Callithrix jacchus: one gene and its partners. The main gene of each other region encodes a partner of the protein of the gene in region 4 in a complex. Links are inferred from orthologs where the notes say so. Each region holds a gene or a part of one and is shown on either strand. Other genes may lie near its edges. The genes, in order: ITGB8, LRRC32, TGFBR2, TGFB3, TGFBR1 and ITGB6.

Evidence for each region.
Region 1: the proteins of TGFB3 (region 4) and ITGB8 are in contact, whole or in part, in a cryo-EM structure (PDB 8VS6), measured with the Homo sapiens proteins. The link is inferred for Callithrix jacchus from reciprocal best matches to the Homo sapiens genes TGFB3 and ITGB8. Residues at the interface, in NP_001316868.1 of Homo sapiens: Gly262, Asp263, Leu264, Arg266, Leu267, Lys268; in NP_002205.1 of Homo sapiens: Ser156, Ala157, Ser158, Asn161, Arg206, Gln210, Cys211, Tyr214, Leu216, Ser247, Gly248, Asn249, Ile250, Asp251, Thr252, Glu254.
Region 2: the proteins of TGFB3 (region 4) and LRRC32 are in contact, whole or in part, in a cryo-EM structure (PDB 8VSB), measured with the Homo sapiens proteins. The link is inferred for Callithrix jacchus from reciprocal best matches to the Homo sapiens genes TGFB3 and LRRC32. Residues at the interface, in NP_001316868.1 of Homo sapiens: Leu24, Ser25, Thr26, Cys27, Thr28, Leu30, Pro347, Pro349, Tyr350, Leu351, Arg352, Thr357, His358, Val361, Leu364, Leu368, Ser375; in NP_001122394.1 of Homo sapiens: Ala110, Ser135, Tyr137, Ser160, Val184, Met186, Asp187, Ile188, Asp190, Phe193, Leu202, Leu204, Arg206, Asn207, Ser208, Thr210, Cys211, Ile212, Ser213, Asp214, Phe215, Ser216, Leu217, Cys227, Asn228, Ser229, Lys254.
Region 3: the proteins of TGFB3 (region 4) and TGFBR2 are in contact, whole or in part, in a crystal structure (PDB 9B9F), measured with the Homo sapiens proteins. The link is inferred for Callithrix jacchus from reciprocal best matches to the Homo sapiens genes TGFB3 and TGFBR2. Residues at the interface, in NP_001316868.1 of Homo sapiens: Arg325, Lys331, Trp332, His334, Tyr390, Tyr391, Val392, Gly393, Arg394; in NP_003233.4 of Homo sapiens: Leu50, Phe53, Asp55, Ser72, Ile73, Thr74, Ser75, Ile76, Glu78, Val100, Asp141, Glu142.
Region 5: the proteins of TGFB3 (region 4) and TGFBR1 are in contact, whole or in part, in a crystal structure (PDB 9B9F), measured with the Homo sapiens proteins. The link is inferred for Callithrix jacchus from reciprocal best matches to the Homo sapiens genes TGFB3 and TGFBR1. Residues at the interface, in NP_001316868.1 of Homo sapiens: Ala301, Leu302, Asp303, Asn305, Tyr306, Tyr350, Leu351, Ser353, Thr357, Thr360, Leu364, Leu368; in NP_004603.1 of Homo sapiens: His39, Leu40, Thr42, Lys43, Phe55, Met70, Ile78, Phe84, Val85, Lys91.
Region 6: the proteins of TGFB3 (region 4) and ITGB6 are in contact, whole or in part, in a crystal structure (PDB 4UM9), measured with the Homo sapiens proteins. The link is inferred for Callithrix jacchus from reciprocal best matches to the Homo sapiens genes TGFB3 and ITGB6. Residues at the interface, in NP_001316868.1 of Homo sapiens: His259, Gly262, Asp263, Leu264, Arg266, Leu267, Lys268; in NP_000879.2 of Homo sapiens: Ser142, Ala143, Ser144, Asp147, Pro196, Cys197, Ser199, Ile200, Tyr202, Cys204, Ala234, Asn235, Ile236, Asp237, Thr238, Glu240, Asp271, Lys355.

What each region holds. Positions count from the first base shown.
Region 1 is NC_133512.1:37,881,921-37,885,420, forward strand, and holds part of ITGB8 (integrin beta-8), read right to left. Parts: intron 2,993-3,500; exon of another isoform or gene 2,925-2,992; intron 1,279-2,924; coding exon 1,032-1,278; intron 1-1,031. UniProt on the Homo sapiens protein: Integrin alpha-V:beta-8 (ITGAV:ITGB8) is a receptor for fibronectin. It recognizes the sequence R-G-D in its ligands.
Region 2 is NC_133511.1:64,331,535-64,335,034, reverse strand, and holds part of LRRC32 (transforming growth factor beta activator LRRC32), read right to left. Parts: coding exon 1,783-3,500; 3' UTR 1,762-1,782; exon of another isoform or gene 203-1,761; coding exon of another isoform or gene 152-202; 3' UTR 1-151.
Region 3 is NC_133518.1:68,835,799-68,840,045, reverse strand, and holds the start of TGFBR2 (TGF-beta receptor type-2), read right to left. Parts: upstream 2,801-4,247; 5' UTR 2,482-2,800; coding exon 2,388-2,481; intron 1-2,387. UniProt on the Homo sapiens protein: Transmembrane serine/threonine kinase forming with the TGF-beta type I serine/threonine kinase receptor, TGFBR1, the non-promiscuous receptor for the TGF-beta cytokines TGFB1, TGFB2 and TGFB3.
Region 4 is NC_133509.1:110,899,406-110,903,416, forward strand, and holds the start of TGFB3 (transforming growth factor beta-3 proprotein), read right to left. Parts: upstream 2,801-4,011; 5' UTR 2,448-2,800; exon of another isoform or gene 2,309-2,447; intron 2,278-2,308; exon of another isoform or gene 2,064-2,277; 5' UTR 1,826-2,063; exon of another isoform or gene 1,380-1,825; 5' UTR 1,193-1,379; coding exon 841-1,192; intron 402-840; exon of another isoform or gene 335-401; coding exon of another isoform or gene 241-334; intron 1-240. UniProt on the Homo sapiens protein: Transforming growth factor beta-3 proprotein: Precursor of the Latency-associated peptide (LAP) and Transforming growth factor beta-3 (TGF-beta-3) chains, which constitute the regulatory and active subunit of TGF-beta-3, respectively.
Region 5 is NC_133502.1:147,265,348-147,268,847, reverse strand, and holds part of TGFBR1 (TGF-beta receptor type-1), read right to left. Parts: intron 3,287-3,500; coding exon 3,130-3,286; intron 1,606-3,129; coding exon 1,481-1,605; intron 475-1,480; coding exon 344-474; intron 1-343. UniProt on the Homo sapiens protein: Transmembrane serine/threonine kinase forming with the TGF-beta type II serine/threonine kinase receptor, TGFBR2, the non-promiscuous receptor for the TGF-beta cytokines TGFB1, TGFB2 and TGFB3.
Region 6 is NC_133507.1:69,659,830-69,663,329, forward strand, and holds part of ITGB6 (integrin beta-6), read left to right. Parts: intron 1-155; coding exon 156-360; intron 361-931; coding exon 932-1,178; intron 1,179-3,500. UniProt on the Homo sapiens protein: Integrin alpha-V:beta-6 (ITGAV:ITGB6) is a receptor for fibronectin and cytotactin. It recognizes the sequence R-G-D in its ligands. Internalization of integrin alpha-V/beta-6 via clathrin-mediated endocytosis promotes carcinoma cell invasion.

The DNA of each region.
Region 1 (3,500 bases), on a different chromosome or scaffold from region 4:
GAATGTGCAGTGATTTCTTATCATTGAACAGCTGAGAAACCCTTTTGGAAAAGGTTTTTGGGAAATTTAGTTGAAATATCATATTACAGTTTTGTTTTTAATACTGTACTAATTTTTAAAATGATACTTGGTAGAATTATTGATGAACAATCAAAATTCATGAAAGTTATTTTGAGAATCCATGATATCCAGAAAGTAAGAATGATTCCTCTGGCACATTCACCTCAAGAAGGCTTATGAAACTCCATTAGTGGATGTGTCAATCTTGTTCTGGTACAAGAGATGACAGAGTCGTTTTGGTAAATTGGAATACATATTGTAAGGTAATCTAAGCAATTTGTAGAAGCAAGAAAGATAAAGTCTTTTATGAAAAAAGATCCATACAGATTTCCTTTACTGAAAATTCTACAGGCTAATGGCAATATTGTGTGAGATTGTATTTTTAAGGTTAATTCTTCTTTCATAGTGGGATGTATGTTATTTAGAATCAGAATTCTAAAATGGTAAGAAAAAAAGGGTCTTTCTAAGCAGTCAAATTCTCATCTTTTGACCCACTTTCTTTGTGACAGCTGAGCTTGCTTTATAGTCACATTATAGGCGACATTATCCACAGTCACAACACAGTGACGGAGAGACAGATGAAACGTGGGCACAAACTCTTTAAAGTGTATCAAACCATAATTCAATAATTTTGGAGCAATCAAAAAATAAAAATACAGAATTTCCAAAGAGGTATTTATATACATTGCAGACTAATTATTGATGGTTTATTCAAAGTTACTAACATTAGGTAGGATTTTTTTTTGATGATAAAAACTGACTAAATATTTGAAGAAATATAAAACAAAAAGCCTAATCTACAGGTCATCTCAGATATTTCCAGATATGAACAAACCTCCCCACCTCACCAAATATTTTTATTATTATTTTATATAAAATTATAAAATTTGGTATGTTCTTTATATTAAAAACAAAGTGAAATTTTATGAGCAAAAAATTAATTGAGTATATCCACATCAAATCCTAGATACCTGCATTGATTATGAATCCTTTCAGGATGGATGCTAATGTATGGTGAAACTGTTTTATCAACGTACGAGCCAAATCCAAGACGAAAGTCAGTGGTGAAAAATTGCATTTTTCTAGATAAATCATTTCCAATAAAATTTAATTTTTCTATATTATTGTGCATTGATGCCGAGACATCAACCAGATAATAAAGATCCACAGGATATTTCTTCAGAGGATGAATTCTCAGCATAAAATTAGCTTCAGCTCCTAGTTCAACAGAAGAAAAGCATCATGTAGTCTTCATTTTAAACATTTCAGGATAAGATCTCAATGAATTAGTCACATTCTAGCACCTAACACAATCATCACAAATTTGTACATACATTTCAGAATATTCTAGTATAATTGTGACAAGTATAGCATAATTATTATTCTAGTATAATTATAAGGCAATTTGAAAACTATACCAATTTATTAGTCTCCAAATCCTACAGTACATTCCCCACAGTTCTATAGGCTGAATAGGGATGATAACAAATGGGCCAGTTCCATATAAATGTAACAGGGTATTGTATCATTATATAAACCTCCCTTGCCTTAGTAGTCAGAAAAACATAGTGCAAACCAGCCAGCAGCATTCTATCCCAAAACAGTGAGGGGGCTGTACTTGTAGAATGAGTTGAGGAAAACTGGGAATGTATCTTTTAAAAAAAGATCTCTTATTGAATAAAGGCATAAATTCATTCTTTTGGGTTAAAGTGTATTTACACAGGAGATGAGAAAACTCTGGCACTTCAGAGTACAACAAGCTATTCAAAATAATTACCATCTCATCACTAGTTAGTTGATAGGATTCCTCTCATCAGTTGGCTGACAGAAGGAATGAGCCAGTGGGCTAAAGAACTACACCCTGCAGTACCATATGGAGGACCTGGGGAAGGGAGGGGTCAGCATTTGCCCAACACACAGTGGGTGTTCAATGAACACACACTGGAGAGGGGTCCCATGGGCAAGGCACCCACCCTGGGCAAAACAACTGGATGAGAAGAAGGGGCTGCCACAAGGACAAACGTCAGTAGTCTCCGCCGGGAACTACAGTTTTATTTAGTTCTTCGTTATATTACTATTTGATAAAGGACCTGGGTTATCCCCCTAACCCTCTATAGAGTTGGTATCTCTACTTTTCATTTAAAGTACACGGTGAAAAGGCAACTACTTAAATATAGGCAATTTGCAATTTATGAATTTTACTTTTTTAAACAAATAAGCAAATGCTTTGTAAGTCATTATTTTTTCCTAAGAATATTCTGAATGAAAAACATTTTTAAAATAAACATTGATTTGTATACATAAGTTACTCATTTAAAGAATCTTCTAATTAATCAAATCATATGTTTGGTATTAGTATAAAATAGCAATATTTTCTTTTCAATTATTTCACAAATCAGATGTTTTTCAGCCAAATTACTTACTGTATTCCAAATAATAAGATTTTGCTGATATATAATAATAATTATGGGAGAAAGGAACTACTCAATCTGAATTTGCTTTTATGTCCAGGCAGGCCTTTTAATGTAATGCTCCTAGGTTTTGGCCCCTATTTGAGAGGAGAAATTGGGCATGCATGGTCCAGCCCAGTCCATTCTCTCATCCCTTGCCTTCAGAAGCTAGACTGCTTCCAGAGACCATATCCTACATTCGGCTCTGCTTCTGGTCTTCTGTTGACAGAAAGAACCATTCCCTGTGGCAGTGTTCTGCAATTTGAGTGGAGAAATTAAATTAAGGGGAATGTTAGACACTAGTACACTGGGCCAAATCCATGAGAAGCAGAAATTCAGCACTACTGGGGAGAGCGGTTCTCATGCAGGGACTTGAACCTTCATGTACGGATCAGCACTTTTTGTTTTTGTTTCTCACTCAGACCCAAAGTGTCAACTCTCTCTAGAACTGCTGTTGGTGGAAAGTACTGCCATCTTTTTAGATTAAAAAAAATTGTTTTTCTAAACTGGCCACACGGTATCATAGTATTTTTATGTTGGTGAATCATTGCAGTTTATGGTGGCTCTGTCTAAAAATGAATGGCTGTTTTCAGAGGTATTGCTAGATGTACTAGATAGTCAGCATACTGTGCCAGGGACCCAGCAAAGGTATGGGTTGGTCACCTCAGCAAACAAGCAGAGCCTGCATAGCATCAGCAAAGGCACAGTCCTTGGAGGTAAGCTATTCAGGGCCCTCCAACCAAATGCTAGACACACAAGGCCCTCAGCTGAAACCAGATGCTGATAGCCCAGCAAGCAAATTCCAGTCTCACTGGCCTCAGCAAAGAAGAAGCCTGTGAGAGAGGACTGCCAAATGGTCAGGGTTTGAGAGTGTGAGCTGCTGTGGCTTGATTTTGGATTCTATAGATTCTGACCTTAGCACATATACTGCGGTCAGCTGGGGCCTCAGTAGAGAAGATTCCAATGAAAAGGAAAGAGAGTATTTCCATA
Region 2 (3,500 bases), on a different chromosome or scaffold from region 4:
AAAATGGGATGGAGACGTGGTGGTTTCATTTTATCACACATTACTGAGGCCACATCATGAGCCAGACTGTGGGCCAAGCACAGGTAAGCTGACGAAGACAGTAACACAGGGTCTTGAGTTGGTCCCAGGGCTTCCATTCTTCCCAGACAGTTCACGACTCCATGGTGTGAGGGACAGGGGTTATCCGGGTGAGCCTTTCTACCTGAATTTTTAGGGGGGAAAAAAATCCTTGCATGATGACGTACAGAAAGGAAGTTTGGAGCCAGCATTATCTTGTGATGTGACAGGCAAGAGACGACACCACTCTGGTCCAACCCCCATCTCACCCCACCAAATAAGGTCTGACTCTTTTTTTTCCCCCACATGCTCTGACACTGACTTGTACAGCTTTCTGTAAGTTTCATTCTCTTCCTGAACCTCAGTTTCCCCATCTTTGCAATGGGCGGGGGCTGGATTCAATAGTCTCAAACTCCAGGCTCTGCTCAATAGAGGAAAAGGGAGTGAGAGAATGCAAGAGCAAGGAGAGAACAGGCCCCATACCAGGGTGCAAAGGAGGGGAGGAGGGAAACTAAGAAGGAGGAGAGGGCCCGTGGCTGCCTGCCTAGGAGAGAGGAGAGAGCAGATGTGCATGGCACAGGATGCTTCCAGACCCTGCTTGGGCTATGTGGGACCACTTCCTGTTCTCTTAATGGCCTGCAGCCCTTGCAGTGGTAAAGATCCAGGCCCTGGAGACAGAAGGATGAGGGTTTGAATCTCACCTATGGCATTAGTTAGCTGGGGCCATGGAGGAAGATTTGCAGAACTTCAGTTTCCTCTTTTATAAAATAGGGATAAAATATCAACCTCTAAGGGCTGTCATATAGGAGCAAGGCTCGGATTCACATCCACATCTGTCAAGCTGGGTGCAAAACAGAACCAGACATCTAAGGTTCTAGCTCCTGGCACAGCAGCCAAGATGGGGCTGGGACGGAGAAGGGAGGCTGGGCAGGGAGGGGCTTAGAGCAGTACTAGGGTCAGGGTGTGCAACATGAGAGTGCCAGGTAGAGAGAGGACCTGTCCAGAGCAGGAGACGGAATGGCCCAGTGCTGGGCTAGACCCCTTAACCAGACCCTGCTGGAGCTGCCACAGCCCACCTAACAGCACCACATCCAAGACACACTCGGACGGCTCCCAGTTCTCTCTTTCTGTCATAAGCGCTTCATTTTCAGAGAGGCTGAAAGTCATTATTAAATGTGACAAACAGTCTGCTTGGAAATGTCTAAGACAAATCCTCCTGGGCTTGGCCCTTTCTGGCCCTGGCATTGCTGGGGCCGGACTCTCCGCCCTGAACCAGCAGGGCCTGCCGAGCTCCAGACCCCTGGGCTTTCACTCCTCAGGCCCTGAGCACACTGTGTGGTCACGGTGTGGCTCTGCAGCAACCCCTCCTACCAAACTGGGAGATTCTCGAGGGCAGGAATGTATCTCATTTCCCAGCGTTCCCAGTGCCCAGAGCAGGGTGTAGCACAAAATAGATGTTCATTGAAGATTTGTTGATCTGATGGGTCAACATTATTCTCTGCTGTCCCTGAAACCGCCCAACCTCTGGCTTCCACAGCTGGACCCAAAGTGCAGCCCAGGAAGGGAGTCACCCGCTGATGCAGCAGGCGGCAGAGAAAGGAGTACTGGGCTGCGATTTGGGGACCAGTGTTCTGGGACCCTGGGTCACTGTGTGACCTTGAGTCAGGCCTCACTCTTCTCTGTACCTCAGGCTCCTGCACTGACCTAGAGCATCTCCCGGCTTCTTTAGGCTTTACATTGTTGGTTAAACTTCTGCCGGCGGAGGCAGCAACAGGTGGCGAGCGTGGTGAGGAGGATGGCAGAGACCAGTATGAAGGTGAGGATGATAATGAGGTTGATGTTCTTGAGCCCCCCCTTCTCACAGTCCTCGGGACGCACGTGGCTCAGAGACACCTCCTCCTGAGAGCTGAAGCGGCAGATCAGGTCCTGGGTGGCGTCCACATCCACTCGGCCCTGGTGCAGCTGGGCTGCCAGCCAGCCATTGCCGCAGCAGCTGAGTGGATTCCCCTGCAGGTAGAGGCGTCGGAGGCTGGTCTCCAGGCCACCCATGGCACTGCCTGGCAGGAGGCTGAAGCTGTTGTTCCGCAGGTCCAGCACCTCCAGTGACACGGCCTGTGTCCAGGCGGGAAGGTGGCTCAGGCAGTTCTCAGCAAGATTGAGCCGCTTGAGGCAGCTGAAGTAGGGCAGGTCCACCTGCAGGACCGCCAGCCCATTACCCTGCAGTGCCAGGACCTCCAAGGAGGCCTCCAGACCTGCCAAGGCCCCCCTGGCCACCACTAGCCCAGGGTTGGAAGAGAGGTCCAGCTCAGTCAGTGGGGTGTGGAGGAAGGCCCCTGCTCTGAGCATCTCTATCTCATTATCCACCAGGCTCAGGCTGCGGAGCGAGGAGATGCCGGAGAAGGCCACACAGCTGGAGGGGCCAGGCTCATCTGGACCCCCACAGGGGCTGACCCGGTTCCCCTGCAGGTTGAGATGCTGCAGGCTGGCCAGGTTGGCAAAGGTGTATAGGGGCAGGTCCCGCAGGGCATTGCCCTGTAGGAGCAGCGTCCGCAGGGACCCCAGGGCTCTGGTGCCCAGTTCCAGTGCCTCCAGGGCATTGTGGCTTAAGTCCAGGAGCATTAGGCAGGACAGGGAGCCCGAGCGCCGGGCCTCAAAAGCCCGCAAACAGTTTCGGCTGAGGTTCAGGAAGCACAGGGAGGTCAGGTGCTCAAGAAAGCTGTCAGGGATGAGCTCAATCTCATTGTAGCTCAAATCCAGATTCAAGAGCTGGGAAAGGGGGTGGGCACTGGCATTTCCCCTGGGGTTTGAGAGGGGCAGGGCTGACCAGCCCTCAGAAGGTGCGTGGATGGCCTTGCTGTGCTGGGGTGGCCCTGTGGGGAGCCGGATGAGGTTATTGGACATGTTCAGGTAGATGAGTCTTGGGAACGCGGCCAGGTCAGGAAAATGGAGCAGTTTGTTCTCCCGCAGGTCGAGCCAGGTGAGCTGGAACTCGGCTTGGGGCATGGGGGCCGTCTGAAAGGTCTCGATGCTATTGCAGCTCAGGTCCAGCACCTGCAGCTGCAGGAGGCTGAAGTCAGAGATGCAGGTGAGGGAATTCCTGGAGAGGTTGAGATGGGTCAAGCGGGGAAGGGCTTCGAAGGCGCCGTCCTCGATGTCCATCAGCACGTTGCTATGTAGGTCAAGCCGCTCTAGCGCAGGCATGCCCCGGAAGGTGTGGTGGGTGAGGCGAGTCAGACTGTTCTCCGCCAGCGAGAGGGTATGCAGGCGGGGTGCCTCCTCCAGCAGCTGCTCCAGCAGGCCGCTGTACAGGCTGTTCCCAGACAGGTCCAGGGAGGTCACGTGTGGCAGGGGGCCCAGGCCGCCAGTACTCAGTACAGTGCCCACTGCCAGCCGGTTGTGGGCCAGGCTGAGGTGCTGCAGGTGGGGCAGGGCCTGGAAGGCTC
Region 3 (4,247 bases), on a different chromosome or scaffold from region 4:
CTTATCTTGCATTAAGATATTTTGAAAAACGTTTTCAGTTTACCAATTGTTAGAAAAAATCTGAAACTATTTCCTTACATGAAAAATTAAAATGTAAGTAGAATTAGGTTTCCTGTCTTCAATAGATCTGTCTTCAACCTTCAGCCAACTTTGAAAGTTTACTTCGAATCAAATTAATACAAATTAAAAATGATTCATTAATTCAACCATTTTGCAACTTCAATTCTATAAAAGTATGAAATCTGTTGGCCTTGCAAAACTGTGTAAAAACCCAAATAAAAAGCCACCACACTTTTAAGCTAATTGTTTAAAAGTGTGTATATAGATGAAATGAAACTGACTCATGACTATTGGGTCTGGAATTTGCAAATCATAAATCTTATCCTTGTAAACAGAATCTAACTAACAACATCAGGGCCTACTAATTTCCTTCTTTTATACACTGGAACAAACGTTTTAATGATTTTTAACATTCACAGAAAATTAAGGGTGCCATTTTAAATATTTATTAGCAAAATATAATTCAGGTTTTAAGAGTCTAGAGGAAAATGAAAGACAGTTGAACATTCTGGTACTGCAATGTAGGAAAAATGCCAAGAACAAAACACTCAGATTTTATTAAAACCATACGACTCAAATTTGCGTTAAGACTTTTTACTTGCAATAGTGCTTCTTCATAATTTGATTAAAAACTTCCATCTCCATGTCACCTTTAATGTAAGCAATAATTTTTTAAAACTTCTCCATCTATTTCATGTACTCTGAAATTTACAGCAGACTGTGATGTGCATTTTTCCCTAGACAAACCTAAAGGTGAATCTGCCCCTGGGTACATAAAATGAACACCTCGGGGTGATGTGGACTGTCAGCTCCTCTTCCTTTCACCCAAAGTCTACATGGCTCATCTCCAAGTCACCAGAAGTGCCAGGGGGAAAAGGAGGGGAGGGGCACGACACATAATATGTTAAACATGAAGATGATGTAAAATTACTCAGATTCAACATTGCCATTTTCCAGATGAGGAAACTACCGCCTAGAAAAAGTTCTATGACTTGCCTAAATACGCAGATAAATATCTGGCAGACAAGCTGCAGATACTGTTATTTGGCTCATAGCTGCAAAAAGTCTAACTTTTGGCCGGGCGCGGTGGCTCACGCCTGCAATCCCAGCACCTTGGGACGCTGAGGCGGTTGGATCACGGGGTCAAGAGATCGAGACCATCCTGGCCAACATGGTGAAACCCCGTCTCTACTAAAAATACACACATTAGCTGGGCATGGTGGTGGGCGCCTGTAATCCCAGCTACTCAGGAGGCTGAGGGAGGAGAATCGGTTGAACCTGTGATGCAGAAGTTGCAGTGAACCGAGATCGTGCCACTGCCCTCCAGCCTGGCGACTTAGTCTTAAAAAAACAAAAACAAAAAAAAAAAAAAAACGTCTAACTTTTGAAGTCTCAGGAGTTTTACACTTTCCATAACAAATAGTTAAGAACCCCCTTTCCTGCATGCATATGCATATATATAGATATATAGATATATATATAGTGTGTGTGTGTGTGTGTGTGTGTGTGTGTGTGTGTTTTCTTCAAAACCTTCAGAGACAGCGGTCAGGTGGGTAGCCTAGTTGGGATTTTTAACCCTTCGGTTTCCAACCAACGATCATTGCAGAGAAACACCAACTCCCTGAAGACAGGACTGTCTTGTTCCAGGCAAAATCTCCAGCCCCTAGCACCTAGTAGGCATTTACTGAAGGATTCCCGGTTTTCCCTGAGCGTCTCCACTCCCTACCCATCCGTGATGCCAAGGCGTCAGTGGAGCCAGCTAACTTTCCTTTGGAAATCGCTTATTTTCTTGAAACTTGTATCCAATAACTCCGGGCCAAGAAGCGGCCCTGAGGGCATGCGTGGCCGTGTCCTGGCGCTCAGGACTGAGGAGCTGGCCTTTGGAAGGGGTGGCTGGGAAAGAGCTGGGTGGGCGCGCCGCATCGCCGCGGGCGGAGGGGCCCAGGTGTGCTGGCTGCTTTGGCAGCTCAGGCTGCCGCCCCGCGCCGCGGCTCCCGGCCGCCTTCAGATAACCAACTTCTCAAACTTCCCTTTCCGGGGGTGGGGGCTCGCCTCGAACGCGGCCCGCACAACGCCTTTCCTGCTCGCACAAAGGGAACCGAACGTGCCCCGAGCCCCTGGCAGCTGAACTTTCCTTCTCTTTTTCGAGAAAAACTCATACATCCCCGCGGCTACGGGAGTCGGGCTGCGCGGGTGCCGCGGGGGAAACTTTCCTGGTTTCCGCCCGGGCGCCGGGTGGCCGGGCCCGACTGTCAAGCGCAGCGGAGGGGCGGGGAGCCCAGGAAGACCCCCGGCGCCCCGCCGAGCCCGGGCTGGGGGCCACTCACCCGACTTCGGAACTTGCGGTGGGATCGTGCTGGCGATGCGCGTCCACAGGACGATGTGCAGCGGCCACAGGCCCCTGAGCAGCCCCCGACCCATGGCAGACCCCGCCGCTCGTCATAGACCGAGCCCCAAGCGCAGCGGACGGCGCCTTCCCGGACCCCTGGCAGCGCCTCCGCACCGCGCCCTCCGTGGACGCCGCGCCCTCCCTGGACCCCGCGCCGGGCCGGCCGCGCAGAGGTGCGGGCCAGATGTGGCGGCCGCTCGCCAGCCAGGAGGGGCTGGAGGCCGGTGAGGCGCGGGGAGGCCCCCGGCGGCCGAGGAAAGCAGCGCAGGAGGCCGGCTCCCGTCCCGAGCGGGTGCACGCGCGGGGGTGTCGTCGCTCCGTGCGCGCGAGTGACTCACTCAACTTCAACTCGGCGCTGCGGGGGAAACAGGAAACTCCTCGCCAACAGCTGGGCAGGACCTCGCTCCGCCGACAGCCTTCTGCGCTCCTCCGCGCCCGGCCCCCGCGCTCTCGTAGCTGCCAATCATGCTTCCTAGCCCAGCCCCTGCGAGCGCTTTGGCCGACTTTCCGCTGCCCCTCACCGCCCTCCCGCCCCACTCAGGAGTTCCTTGCTCCAGGGATTTACTCAGGAGTGACTAAGTGCACGTAGTTCACAAAGTAACATCAGAAAACGTCCACGTTTCCCCTGGTCCATCAGAACATCGGTCGCCTCCCCTCAGCTGTCTGCAGCCTGCCCTGCCCCTAGGTGCTTGAGAGATGCGCTTTCAAATGACACGTTGAGATTCAGCAGTCAATACTCAAATCTAGTGAGTCGGGAGCACATTTCTTTCCCGAATAAAATAGTAACGGTAAGTATGACTTCACTAAACTTTTGCTTCAGTTGTGTCTCTAGCCATGTATGTATGTGCATACACTGTCAAGTTGTAAAATTTTTTCTTACTGTAGGTCAAAGTCTAGAGGTTTTTCTCAAATTTTAATGTCTATCTTGATCACCGGGAATATCGTTAAAAGAAAATGCAGATTCTAATTCAGTAGGTCTAGGAGGCAGGCTGAGATTCTGCTTTTCTAGTGAGCACCTTGATAGAGCCTCCCACTTTGCACCGCCTCTTCCTGAGGCTGAGTGAGTAACTGAATGATCACCTATCACGAAGCGATAATGGTTGGAAATGTAATTTTCAGAATGTATAGAGTATAGCAGAAACTGTAAAATTAAAAGTGGCTTGGGAGTCAGCTGAATGCTTGTGCTTTTATTCCCTTAATACAGGTCAAGAAAGAGAATACTTAGCCTCTCATGTGCAAAAGGAGTAACTTTCCAATTTCCTTTCTTGCTAGGGCAACCAGATTTGCCCAAGATGTTCCTGGTGTACTTGTTTTATAGCTTAAATATTAATAGAACCCCCTTTCTCTTTCTGATATGTCCTGACTGGATAATAAACTATGTGATGAACATACTTCCAGCTCTCAAAGATATGATTCTGTACAGCCCTCTGGTCAGATATTCCAGCGACTCAATGAATTCCTTTACCTACGAGGAAGATGGCAGAGGCCAGGGTTTGTGCCGCCGTCTCCAGGGAATAAAGGTAAATAGCCCTCCCCCAAAGCCAACTCCCAAATCTTCCCTGTGATTCTAAGAGTTCATTTGCTTCACCCTGGAATTTTAACTCTTGCTCCACCTAACAGCCAAGCTGCCTCTGCTTGTTTTGACACTTCCCAGCTCTCATGCTGAAGATGCAGAAAGCGCAGTGAAATCAGGAGGGCTAGGCATCTTCTTTCCCACCAATTAGTTGCCTTACCAAGGCTGGTGTGACTTTGGCAATGGAGGAAGATTGAGTTCCAGATCTTCTCCCTATTGCCTCTT
Region 4 (4,011 bases):
ACCCACTCTCCCATGACACGCAGACACAAAGGGCGCCAGCCTCCTCTACGCATCCAGAGCCACAACCCACTCTCCCCGTGCCCACTGGCCTGGAGGGCGCCCATTTTGAGCAGAGGAATCTGTCTACTGCATAAGACTACATGTTGCCCCAAAGTACCCGGCCCTGGGAACATTCGTGTGCACCCTCTCCCCTCCACACACACACACACACACACACACACACACACACACACAGCTCACGTGGGGCTCGTGGGTCACGTGGGTGGGGTAGACCAAAGGGCCCAGTTAGCAAGAAGCTGTCTCTTGCCTGGGCTTCAAAAAGCTTGACAGACATTAATTGAGGGCAGGTACTCTTCTTCCCAAGGACTGGAAAAATTGAACCGGAGACGTGTCACAGTGAGCTGTGAAAAGCAGGGAGAAGACTGAGGTCTCCACACTCAGAACTGTAAGGGCTCCTGACAGGGCCGGCCTTCCCCTTTATGGCACCCAGATGCTTACAGTTACTGATATGATCACATGTGCAAGAATACATATGTTTCCCTGGACAGCACAATGTAATTCCAAATTAAAATCAGTCAAGGATGTGATGTGAGTTCAGCAAGCTGTTCAGCTTCAGGGTTCCTGACCTCCCAGAAGCGTAGGCTCTTAGCAGAATGGCTCTATCTCCCTTCCCACCCACCTCCCCAGCCCCAAAAGAGGAGCATCGCACCTCCTGAGCCTCGGTGCTGGTCAATCCTGGGGCACCCTGCTGTGTGGCCAGCACTGGGCCCCCCTCTGCAGAGCTCCCTGCTCCAGTTCAGACCCTGCAGAGCAGACACCCCAGCGAGAATTTGGACTTACTGTGTTCCGTCATCCCCTGGATCATGTCGAATTTGTGGATTTCTTTGGCATAGTATTCCGACTCGGTATTTTCCTGGGTGCAGCCTTCCTCCTTCTCCCCGTGCATCTCCTCCAGCAGCTCCCGGGTGCTGTTGTAAAGGGCCAGGACCTGATAGGGGACGTGGGTCATCACCGATGGCTCAGGGGGGCTGGTGAGCCTGAGCTTGCTCAAGATCTGTCCCCTAATGGCTTCCACCCTCTTCTTCTTGATGTGGCCGAAGTCCAAGGTGGTGCAAGTGGACAGAGAGAGGCTGACCGTGGCAAAGTTCAGCAGGGCCAGGACCACCAGAGCCCTTTGCAAGTGCATCTTCATGCGTGAGCCGGGAAGAGAGGCCAGGGGGATGGTGAGGCCTGGAGAGGAGGAGACCCCAGCAGACGTGCAGAAGGAGGGAGGAAAACCAGGCGGCCTCCCCAGATCCCAAAGACTGAGGCTTGGCAAGAAGGTGCATGAACTCACTGCACTGCGAGAGCTTCAGGACTTCCAGGAAGCGCTGGCAACCCTGAGGAAGAAGAAGCGGACTGTGTGCCTTGTAGCTCTGGGATTCTTGTCCATGTGTCTAAACAGGTTTTGCTGGGCTCTGACTCCCAGCAGGCCAGGTGGAGGGCAAGCGGAGGGCTGGGAGGGGTGGCAAGGCAGCTGAGAGTGGGAAGGGAGCTGGAGTTTTTCCTTAGGTAAAAATAAATAGAGCGGATATCTGATATTGCCAAACACCGCTTGGCGATGGGGAGAAAGTGGGTATTTTAAAGAAGGAGCAGAAGGACCATGGCTGGATCCCAAAATCAAAATCCTTGCCTTGCCCTAAAGGAAAATAAGAAAAGAGAATGGAAAAGAAAAGGGGAAAAAGTTTAAAAAAAAAAAAAAGTCAGATCACCAGTGAGTAGGTGGGGAGAGGCCGGGCCGGGCAGTTGCTGGCCCAGTTAAAGGTGGGGGCAGTACAGGACACACTTGTCTCTCAGGCACTCCATTCATGCTTTCTCTTTTGTTTACACTTCCTCGGGGGCTTTCTAAATGACTTTGTTCACGCTGCCTCTCGTCTTCATTGGCTGGGGTGTGGGGTTATGTGCATTGGAAGGCAGGGGGAGGCCTCCGAGCGCAGCAGCCCCAATCATCCACTCGGACGCCCAGGGTCACCAGCACCTCGGCTTGTCTTCTGCCTCGGCCATTGCTTCTGTCCCCTGCTTCTCTTTAAAAAATGAAAAGGAGAAGAAAAATAAAATAGAAGCCAGTTCACGGCACGCCTGCTCCGGAAAGCTGTTATTCCTTCTTTCGCACGCTTCTTCCCCTGTCTCTGCCTCTCTCGCTCATTCCCTTGGACTTGACTCTCTGCTTCCCTCCCTTTCTCCCTCTCCCTCTCGCTCCTCTCCCTCTCTCTCTCACACACATGCACACACACTGCTTTCTCTATTTCTCTCTGCTGAAATTTTATACCTCCCTCCCATGACGTCTCTGGCCTGGGGTGGGGGAGGGAGGGACCAGCGCACGCAGCCTCTTTTGCTGCACGATGTTAATGTTTTAAACAGGCACAGGAAAAGCCGAGCCCATTTGAAAAATACTTTGCGAGTCCTACTCGTTCGACGTGGTAGCTGAACTTTTTTTCCCCTCTTGGAATCACTCCTGCTACACGCTGGCTGTTTTTCTGGAAAGTTACTCCGATGAGCCCCCTCCCTCCCTTTCCCCCAGCCCCTGCGCCCTCTCGCCGGCTGTCAGTCCGCGCCGTCCGCGGCCCGCGTCTCTCTCCCTCCCGGTCCACGGGTCCCAGGGCCGCCCCCGGGCCAGGCCCAACCCGGGACAGGGTCCGCGGAGGGCTCGGGGCCCGGCAAGGTCGGCCGTGCCAGCCTCGAGGAGGGGACTCCCGGCTGCGAGCCGGATTGGAGGGTCGGTGTCCGCTCCGCCGCGATCCTGGCCCGATTCTTCATTGACAAGCTCGGAGTCGAGAGGCGGGCAGAAGCCGGGAGACGCTTCGGGGGCAGTGAAAAATGGTGGCGTTTTCCGGAAGATCGAGGGTGCCCTCTGGCGAGGCGAGGCCGCTAGTGAAGGAGCTCAGCGGGTCGGGAGCCGGGGAGGCGCGGGCAAGGGGGGGCTGGGAGGTTGGAGGGCTGGGGGGGCTGGGGGCAGTAGAGGGGCGGGAGAAGAGGCTGCGGGAGAGAGCGAGAAAAACAAGACCCGGGCTCCGGGGAATCGCCTCCCTCCCGGCCCCACGTGCGCAAGAGCGCACCTCTCCCTCCCCAACCGCGGCTCCAGAGCCGCTCTCGCAGAAATGTCATCCAGATGTTCAGCCTCCCTCCTCGCCGAGGGCTCCGAGGGGAGCTGCGCCAGCGAGCGCGAAGTCAGCAGTTGGCCCGAGCCCATTTCCCAGATGGGTGAGGGGAAGTTGGCTCTCCGCTTTCGCTCATCTCGGGCCGAACCTCCAGGCCTTTTCCCACGAGCAGCACGGGGAGGGCAGGGCACGTGGCCCCCCCGCACCGGGCAACAAGGGGCTTGCATCTGAACTGAACTTTCCTGAAAGTGAGTGCCGCTCCCACCCCAACTCACTCCAGCCTCCCTGGACCCTTTCTGAGAGGTCTGGTTTCTAGGCCACTAATTGAAGGGCTGTTTACTGTATCCCAGCACAGCGGTGGCTCATATACGGATGAGGAAACTGAGGCATATATATATATATATATATATATATATATATATATATATATTAAAGACCACAGTGCTGTTTGTGAATGATGGAGGTGATATTTTACACAGGCTATCTAGTTTGGGTAGGCATTATTTTCATTTCCATAACTGATGAGGAAACCTAAGGGTAGAAACTTTAAAAATAACATGCCCAAGGTCACATAGCTATTAGGTGGTAGCTGTTGGGATTTGGACCCAGGACGTTGCCAGAGTCTGTGGACTTAATTACTATGCTATACTGCCTCTGGAATTTGAGAAAAAGGTTAATGTTTACTATGTGCCAGGCACCGTTCTACACTCTGTGAACAATATTGGTGAACAAAACAAACAAAACTCTTGCCCTCATGGAACTTATATTTTAGGGGCAGGGGTGGGGCAGTGGAGGAGGCAATAAACTAAATATGTAAATGATGCAGTAGGGTAAAAAGTGCTGGGCCAGGTGCAGTGATTCACATCTGTAATCC
Region 5 (3,500 bases), on a different chromosome or scaffold from region 4:
AGGTGGAGGTTGCGGTGAGCCGAGATCGCGCCATTGTACTCCAGCCTGGGTAACAAGAGCAAAACTCCGTCACTAAAAAAAAAAAAAAAAAGTATGTGCCTTACGCTTGCCTGGCAGATCTAAACTATGTTCTGATATGTAAAGGCCACTGCAAATGTTCCATGGCCCTTTCAATGTGCTTACAATTGAATATGAAAACCAAATTATTCTGTTTTTACACATTGGTTTGACTGCTTTGAAAAAGAAAATTCTTGTCTGTTTTCCTTAAAGAAAAGTAGCAAATTTTCACTTACTCAGCAGAATCAATTTAGAAAATTGCCTAATATCAGAAAGAAATACTCACTTCACAGCTCTGCCATCTGTTTGGGATATTTGGCCTTAACTTCTGTTCACAAACGACTTTTCTCATTTCTTCAACTGATGGGTCAGAAGGTACAAGATCATAATAAGGCAGCTGGTAATCTTCATGAATACCTGTATTAGTTTAAAAGAAAATTAAATTTTGAAGAATTTATTCAGCTAATGCCAAACCATTAAAAAGATCACCTGAGAGCCCTTGTACTGTGTCATTACTAAAGTAGGTAGGTGGAACTGAGATGATAGCTTTCTCTATCTCATCCACATCTGTATCCATAGACCACTTTCCTGAGTTGATACTGAGCCCACACCTTGAAACTAAGTATTGCCATAAGATCAATAAAGTCTATTTGAAATGACAGTAAACTATGAGCTGTGATGAGCAGATTGACATTTTCCCCTAGAGCCCTACTGTGCAGCAACTGAGATTCTATTCTGTGAGTGAACAGGCTTTCACTTCAGTGAGACATGAATCCTATGAGGCAAGTTTAAGGTTTCTCTACTTGCTTTCTCTACTTGCTTCTGTCAATAATATATCCTATTTACTACAATACAGAGAAATACTCTGTCCCTCACTGCCTCAAAAACCTAAGGCCTAGGTCTCAGCCACGCCTAGGTCCCCAAGCCTAAGAGACTTTCCTGGGTAAACATTAAAAAGTGCTCCATCTAAAAAGCTAGAAGTTAAAACAAACTCTAGAAAACAACACAATGGTATTCTGTGTATGTAATCTATAACTATCAAGTTGGAGAAAATAGCCACAATCTCAAAGAAAAAAAATAAGTTTGTCACCCAGGTACATGCTAGAAACAGCTGCCTAGGTGAGCCTCTCAAGCAGCTATCCTTTCTAAAGAACTATATTCCAATATAACAAGGGGTTGGGTTCTGATGAGTCTCAAGATTCAAATGGAAACAGTAAGAGAATACACTAGGCTAGAGCTGTGCATGTGTACACCATGGCACTGTCCCCTCCCAAAGGTTTCATCGCCTTTGTTTTCTCTGGCATTTGGTGACCTCCTGTTTCAGATGATAAACTGTACATAATTTCATTCAACAAAAAAAGAAGACAATTCTTGAACAAATTCTGTTCATAACAAACTGTTGAGGGAAAGGGGAGCAATTTACCACCAATGGAACATCGTCGAGCAATTTCCCAGAATACTAAGCCCATTGCATAGATGTCGGCACGTTTGAAGGATTCAAAATGTTTCATATTTATGGAATCATCGAGAACTTCAGGGGCCATGTACCTAAAAGAAAATTTGCAAAAAGAACTTTGAAAGTCATGCCCTTATTGCCACATTGTGATGAATATCCACTCAGACATTTCTCTAAACATAGACATCTGCACACAATATTACACAGCAAATATTAGACTCGAGAAAAATATTAAATACACACACTGGTTTGCACATTAATGATGTCAACTAAATCACACAAAACGCTAAAACAGCAGTTTCACACTATCTGCGTCATGATCTTGGTTTCCAATGAAAGACACACATATAACCATTGTAACCATTTAAGATGTCCTAATGTACACCACCTATACATGTACTAGGCAGAAACCATGCATGTGAATCTAGAAGTCATCTCACTGAGGATGAAAGGAAGGGCAGGAATATACACCAGGGAAAAAGATAACAGATACAAAAGAATGCCAGTTCTCCTACTGATGCTACACTGGAGGGTTCTGAAGCGTTGAAAACCTACTAAAATTATGGGTCAGGACCCACAGAGACCTGCAGCAACCACTGCCAGGGACCCACTTAGCTGGCTGAGAGTTGAGAACCCCCAGTGAATCCAGAAATCTCAAAATCATACATGCAATTTGAATAGACTAATGCTGCCAGCTCTCCGGCTCTCTCCAAGGCCAAGGCAGTAGGTTTGAAGAAATGCTGTGACAACATGTGAAAAGGGCTTTGTGTCAGAAATGCCCAGGTTCAAATCTCAGCTCTCTGGCTTATCATCCACATGAAGCTGGCCAAATTATTTAACCTCCAAAAGGTGGTTTCCTCATCTGTGAATTAAGGGTAACAACACCTACCTAATTAAGTTCTTTTGAAGACTCACCGGCTCAACAAATATCTACTGAGGATCTACCATGTATTAGGCACTGTGAAGGATGCTGAGAATACAAGTCTGCTCTCAAGCAGCTTGCACCTAATAGAATATACAGGCAAATAAATAAACAGTTACAATGTAATGCATAAGTGCCTCAATGGTCCCAGTTCAGTGTGCTATGACAGCCCTTGGAGGGACTCCTAACAGTCTTGAGGACCAGAAAAAACTTCCTATGGGAAAGGTGGGTATGTGGCTGAGAAACAGTAGGGTAATGTATGCTCCAGGTGACAGCATGTGCAAAAGTTCTAAGAAAGCAAGAAAGACATATTTTCAGGGACTGAAATATTAAAAAAGCAGGGCTAGCTATAGTACAGTATTTGAGAGGGTTGTTAAATGAGATAATATATGTAAAAGACCTATTAGCTAGATGATTGGCACAAAATAGGTGCCCTATAAACGTGAGTTACTACTGTTACTATAATTAACATGACTAATAATATTTTCTGGAAGGGCAACCTTCCATCTGCAGGCAACTTTTTAAGTCAGGTAACTTTGGCTTCAGAGCAGGCAAGACCATGAGATCTTCTTGCCTGTTGGCAATCTAATAAAGTACAAGCTTAAGCTGAGTTCAGTGATAATATGTACATATAAAAGAAAAGGGAAAAAAGGTGATTTCAGAAGATATTAAATATATTTGTTTGAAAGTATACCTTTTTGTTCCCACTCTGTGGTTTGGAGCAATATCAATTGTATCTGTGGCTGAATCATGTCTTACTGCCAGTCCTAAGTCTGCAATACAGCAAGTTCCATTCTTCTTTACCAAGATATTCTTCGATTTCAAGTCCCTATGAGCAATGGCTGGCTTTCCTAAAGAATCAAAAATTAAACATGACTGCTTAAAAGGTAATACCAATCACAGCTCAAATACCTTTAAAGTCTCTTCTCCTAACCCAAATGTATGAAATCATTTCAGCCCACATGACCAACAATACCTGAGCCATTACTAAATAAACTCAAGTGAATCATTACACCAAAAGTTATTGAAATTACATTTCTTTAAAGAAAATGGGGACAATAACAA
Region 6 (3,500 bases), on a different chromosome or scaffold from region 4:
TGTTGATGCTGTTTACTTTTTGGTATATTTTTAGAAAGGTTAATACTGGTTGTTCCTTTCTATGTATAATAAAAAACTTTCAATTGCTGGTATCTTATAAGAAATTCAGATTTGTTTTCTTTTTCTAGTTATTGATTTTCTTTTTTCTTTTTTAGAATTTTACCCACTCATCTGGAGTTGGCGAAAGGTGTGATACCCCAGCAAACCTATTAGCTAAAGGATGTCAATTAAACTTCATCGAAAACCCTGTCTCACAAGTAGAAATACTTAAAAATAAGCCTCTCAGTGTAGGCACACAGAAAAATAGTTCTGACATTGTTCAGATTGCACCTCAAAGCTTGATCCTGAAGTTGAGACCAGGTATGTTAGGATTTGGCTCATGTAAATAGATCTGATGTCATATATGGCAATTCTTCTACTCCACTAATGTGTCTTGTATTGTATTACATTGATTATTATGCCTCGAATTTCCCATTCTTAAGGAAATAGAAAATTGCTAGGCTCACACTTTTCTTTATTCACATTGGTCCCTGGCACTCCAAATGTGTTACTAAAGAAGCCTTCTCTAATAGTAACCATTTAAATTACTCAAATGTTGTTAAGGCTTACCTCACATCTCTTCAAGGGTTGTAATGTAGATTTAAACTCTCTTTTATTAGATGCCTCTTTTCTAAAACGAAGCACAAAAAATTCAGCTTATCTTCTATCTAAATGGATGCTAGTTCTCCCAAGGAGATATAAAATATCCTAACTTATCCTCCAGTAGTTCTAAACTCCCTGCTGAAAAATTTTTATGGGTTGGTTCATTTAGGACCTTGACTTTCAGTAAGTTCTTACTGAGGTGTAATAGCCAGCTGACCCAGCAACTGGCCAGTTGCAAATGAATCTCAGTGTGTTTTTCTGGGTTTGCTTTTCCCATTGGTCTTTGCAGGTGGTGCACAGACTCTGCAAGTGCATGTCCGCCAGACCGAGGACTATCCGGTGGATTTGTATTACCTCATGGACCTCTCCGCCTCCATGGATGATGACCTCCACACAATCAAGGAGCTGGGATCCCGGCTTTCCAAGGAGATGTCTAAATTAACCAGCAACTTTAGACTGGGCTTCGGATCATTTGTTGAAAAACCTGTATCCCCTTTTGTGAAAACAACACCAGAAGAAATTGCCAACCCTTGCAGGTAAGCAAATGATTCCCTTGGCATCTTCGTGCACTGATTTTTTGTGGAGATACCCCGGCTCTGAGCTGCACTTGCCAGGAGCTTGCTAACTCCCTGGCATTTCTGCTTCATCTGGTTGGATCTCAGCAGTTCTCTCCAGTGCCTAGGTTGCTTGGAGTGGAGGTGAGGTCATCTGAACTACATGGTTCTAGCCATGGCTTCTTGCAGCCTCTGCATCTGCCTTCCAGTGTAGGGCAGGTTGTAGCAAACCAGAATGTGTGTTATGCAGACAAGGGGACCAAGGCTTTCACCATAGGCTCCGCTGGATGGCACCTCGCCCAGTCTTTCACACACTTTCTAGTCTCAGTGGCCACCACTTTCTGAGGTTATTGGAGAATAACTTCACTTTCCCAGAATGTTTCTCCACAACAATGACTTCTGGCAAAATAATAATTTTTGCAACTTTCTCTGATGTACTTTGGGAAATATTTGTTTCTCCTATTGCTTGGAGAAGGCCTGGGCAGCCTTCATAGCTATTAAATTCAGTAGTAAATGATTTCATAGGCAATGACTCCATTCTAATATGTTATAATAAGCTATTAAAACCACATATTATTCAGGTGATGGTGGAGGACAAATTGCTTTGTGATGGCTTACCTGTTAAGTGAATGACATGTTCAGAAACAAACTATTTAATATTCTCCTATTGAAAAAGAGCTACTATATGCTCTGTGCCAGACCTTGTGCTGAAGGTTTTACACACATGACCTCATTCAGTCTTCATAACAGCAGGTTAAAGCTTAATAACACCAGCTCTATACTCAGAAGAAATAAGAGGCTCTGAGAGGTTAGCTATTTGCCCAAGGCCACATGACAAACCCATGATCTGTACCCATATTCGATTTGTCCCAAAAGCAAGCCCATTACTACTATACATCTAATATATATGAAATAATTTTCCAAATGTTTATTGACATAATACTTTTATACACCAAAAGCATCAATCTCTATAAAAGATAAATAGCTTTTATTATACCATTTAAAAAAATCTCAATGTAGCCCCCAACTACAATCTAACATAATCAAAAATAATTTAACCATAAAAGGAACTTTTCAATGATTGTAACACTTAAAAATTGTGTTTGGTTTTAAATATCTGTGATGGTGGCTTAAAAAGGGAGGTTTTTTGTTTGTTTGTTTGTTTGTTTGTTTGTTTGTTTGTTTTTGAGATGGAGTTTTACTCTGTCACCCAGGCTGGAGTGCAGTGGCATGATCTCAGCTCACTGCAATTTCTGCCTCCTGGGTTCAAGCAATTTTTCTGCATCAGCCTCCTGAGTAACTGAGATTACAGGCGCCTGCCACCACACCCGGCTAATTTTTTGTAGTCTTAGTAGTGACTGGGTTTCACTATGTTGGCCAGGCTGTTCTCAAACTCCTGACCTCAAGTGATCCACCTGCCTCAGCTTCCCAAAGTGCTGGGATTACAGGCATGAGCCACTATGCCCAGCCAATATTTTCTTCTGTTTTTTTATATAAGGACCAGAGGAAGGCCATTCAGGGATGTATGGCAGATTCAAAAACATGAGGAATCCAGGCCTTTTTCTGCTCTCTGTTTCACCATTATTGACACTTGGATTTTATCTTCATGGTCCAAGAATGGTGCTGGGGTACTAATCATCACTTCTTCATTTCAGTCAGGAGGAAAGGAGGAAAATAGGGGCAATAAGTACACTGTCTGCCTACTCCTCACAATTCCTTGTGACGTATAGTTGACATGCCTAAAATGCACAGATGGAAAATGTTTAGTTTGATGTGTTTTGATGGTTAAATATACCATTGCAATCAGTATCCAAAACATGATGCAGAATATTTTCATCACCTCAGAAATTTCCCATTACAGTCAGTTCTACCACTTCAAAGGCAACCGCTTTCCGAAGTCGATAATTTATATTGGTTTTACCTATTCCTGAATTTTATATAAATATGTAATGTAGTATATGCCCTCTGTGTTTGGCTTCTTTGGTTCAACATAATGTTTTCAAGATTTACCTATGACTTTGTATGTATCAGGAGTTTGCTTCTTTTCGTTTCAGTTAACAATCCATTGTATTTATTTACTATATTTTGTTTACTCATTCTTTCATTGGAGAACATTTGAGTTGTTTCTATTTTAGGGGGCTATTATGAAAAGGCTGCTGTGAGCACTTGCACTGAAGTCTTTGAATGGATGTATGCTTTTACTTCTCTTCACAATAGACACCTAAACTGGAATTGCTGAACTGTATAATTTTTAAAGAAACTACCAAATTGTTTTCCAAAGCGAATGTACATTTTGCATTTCCA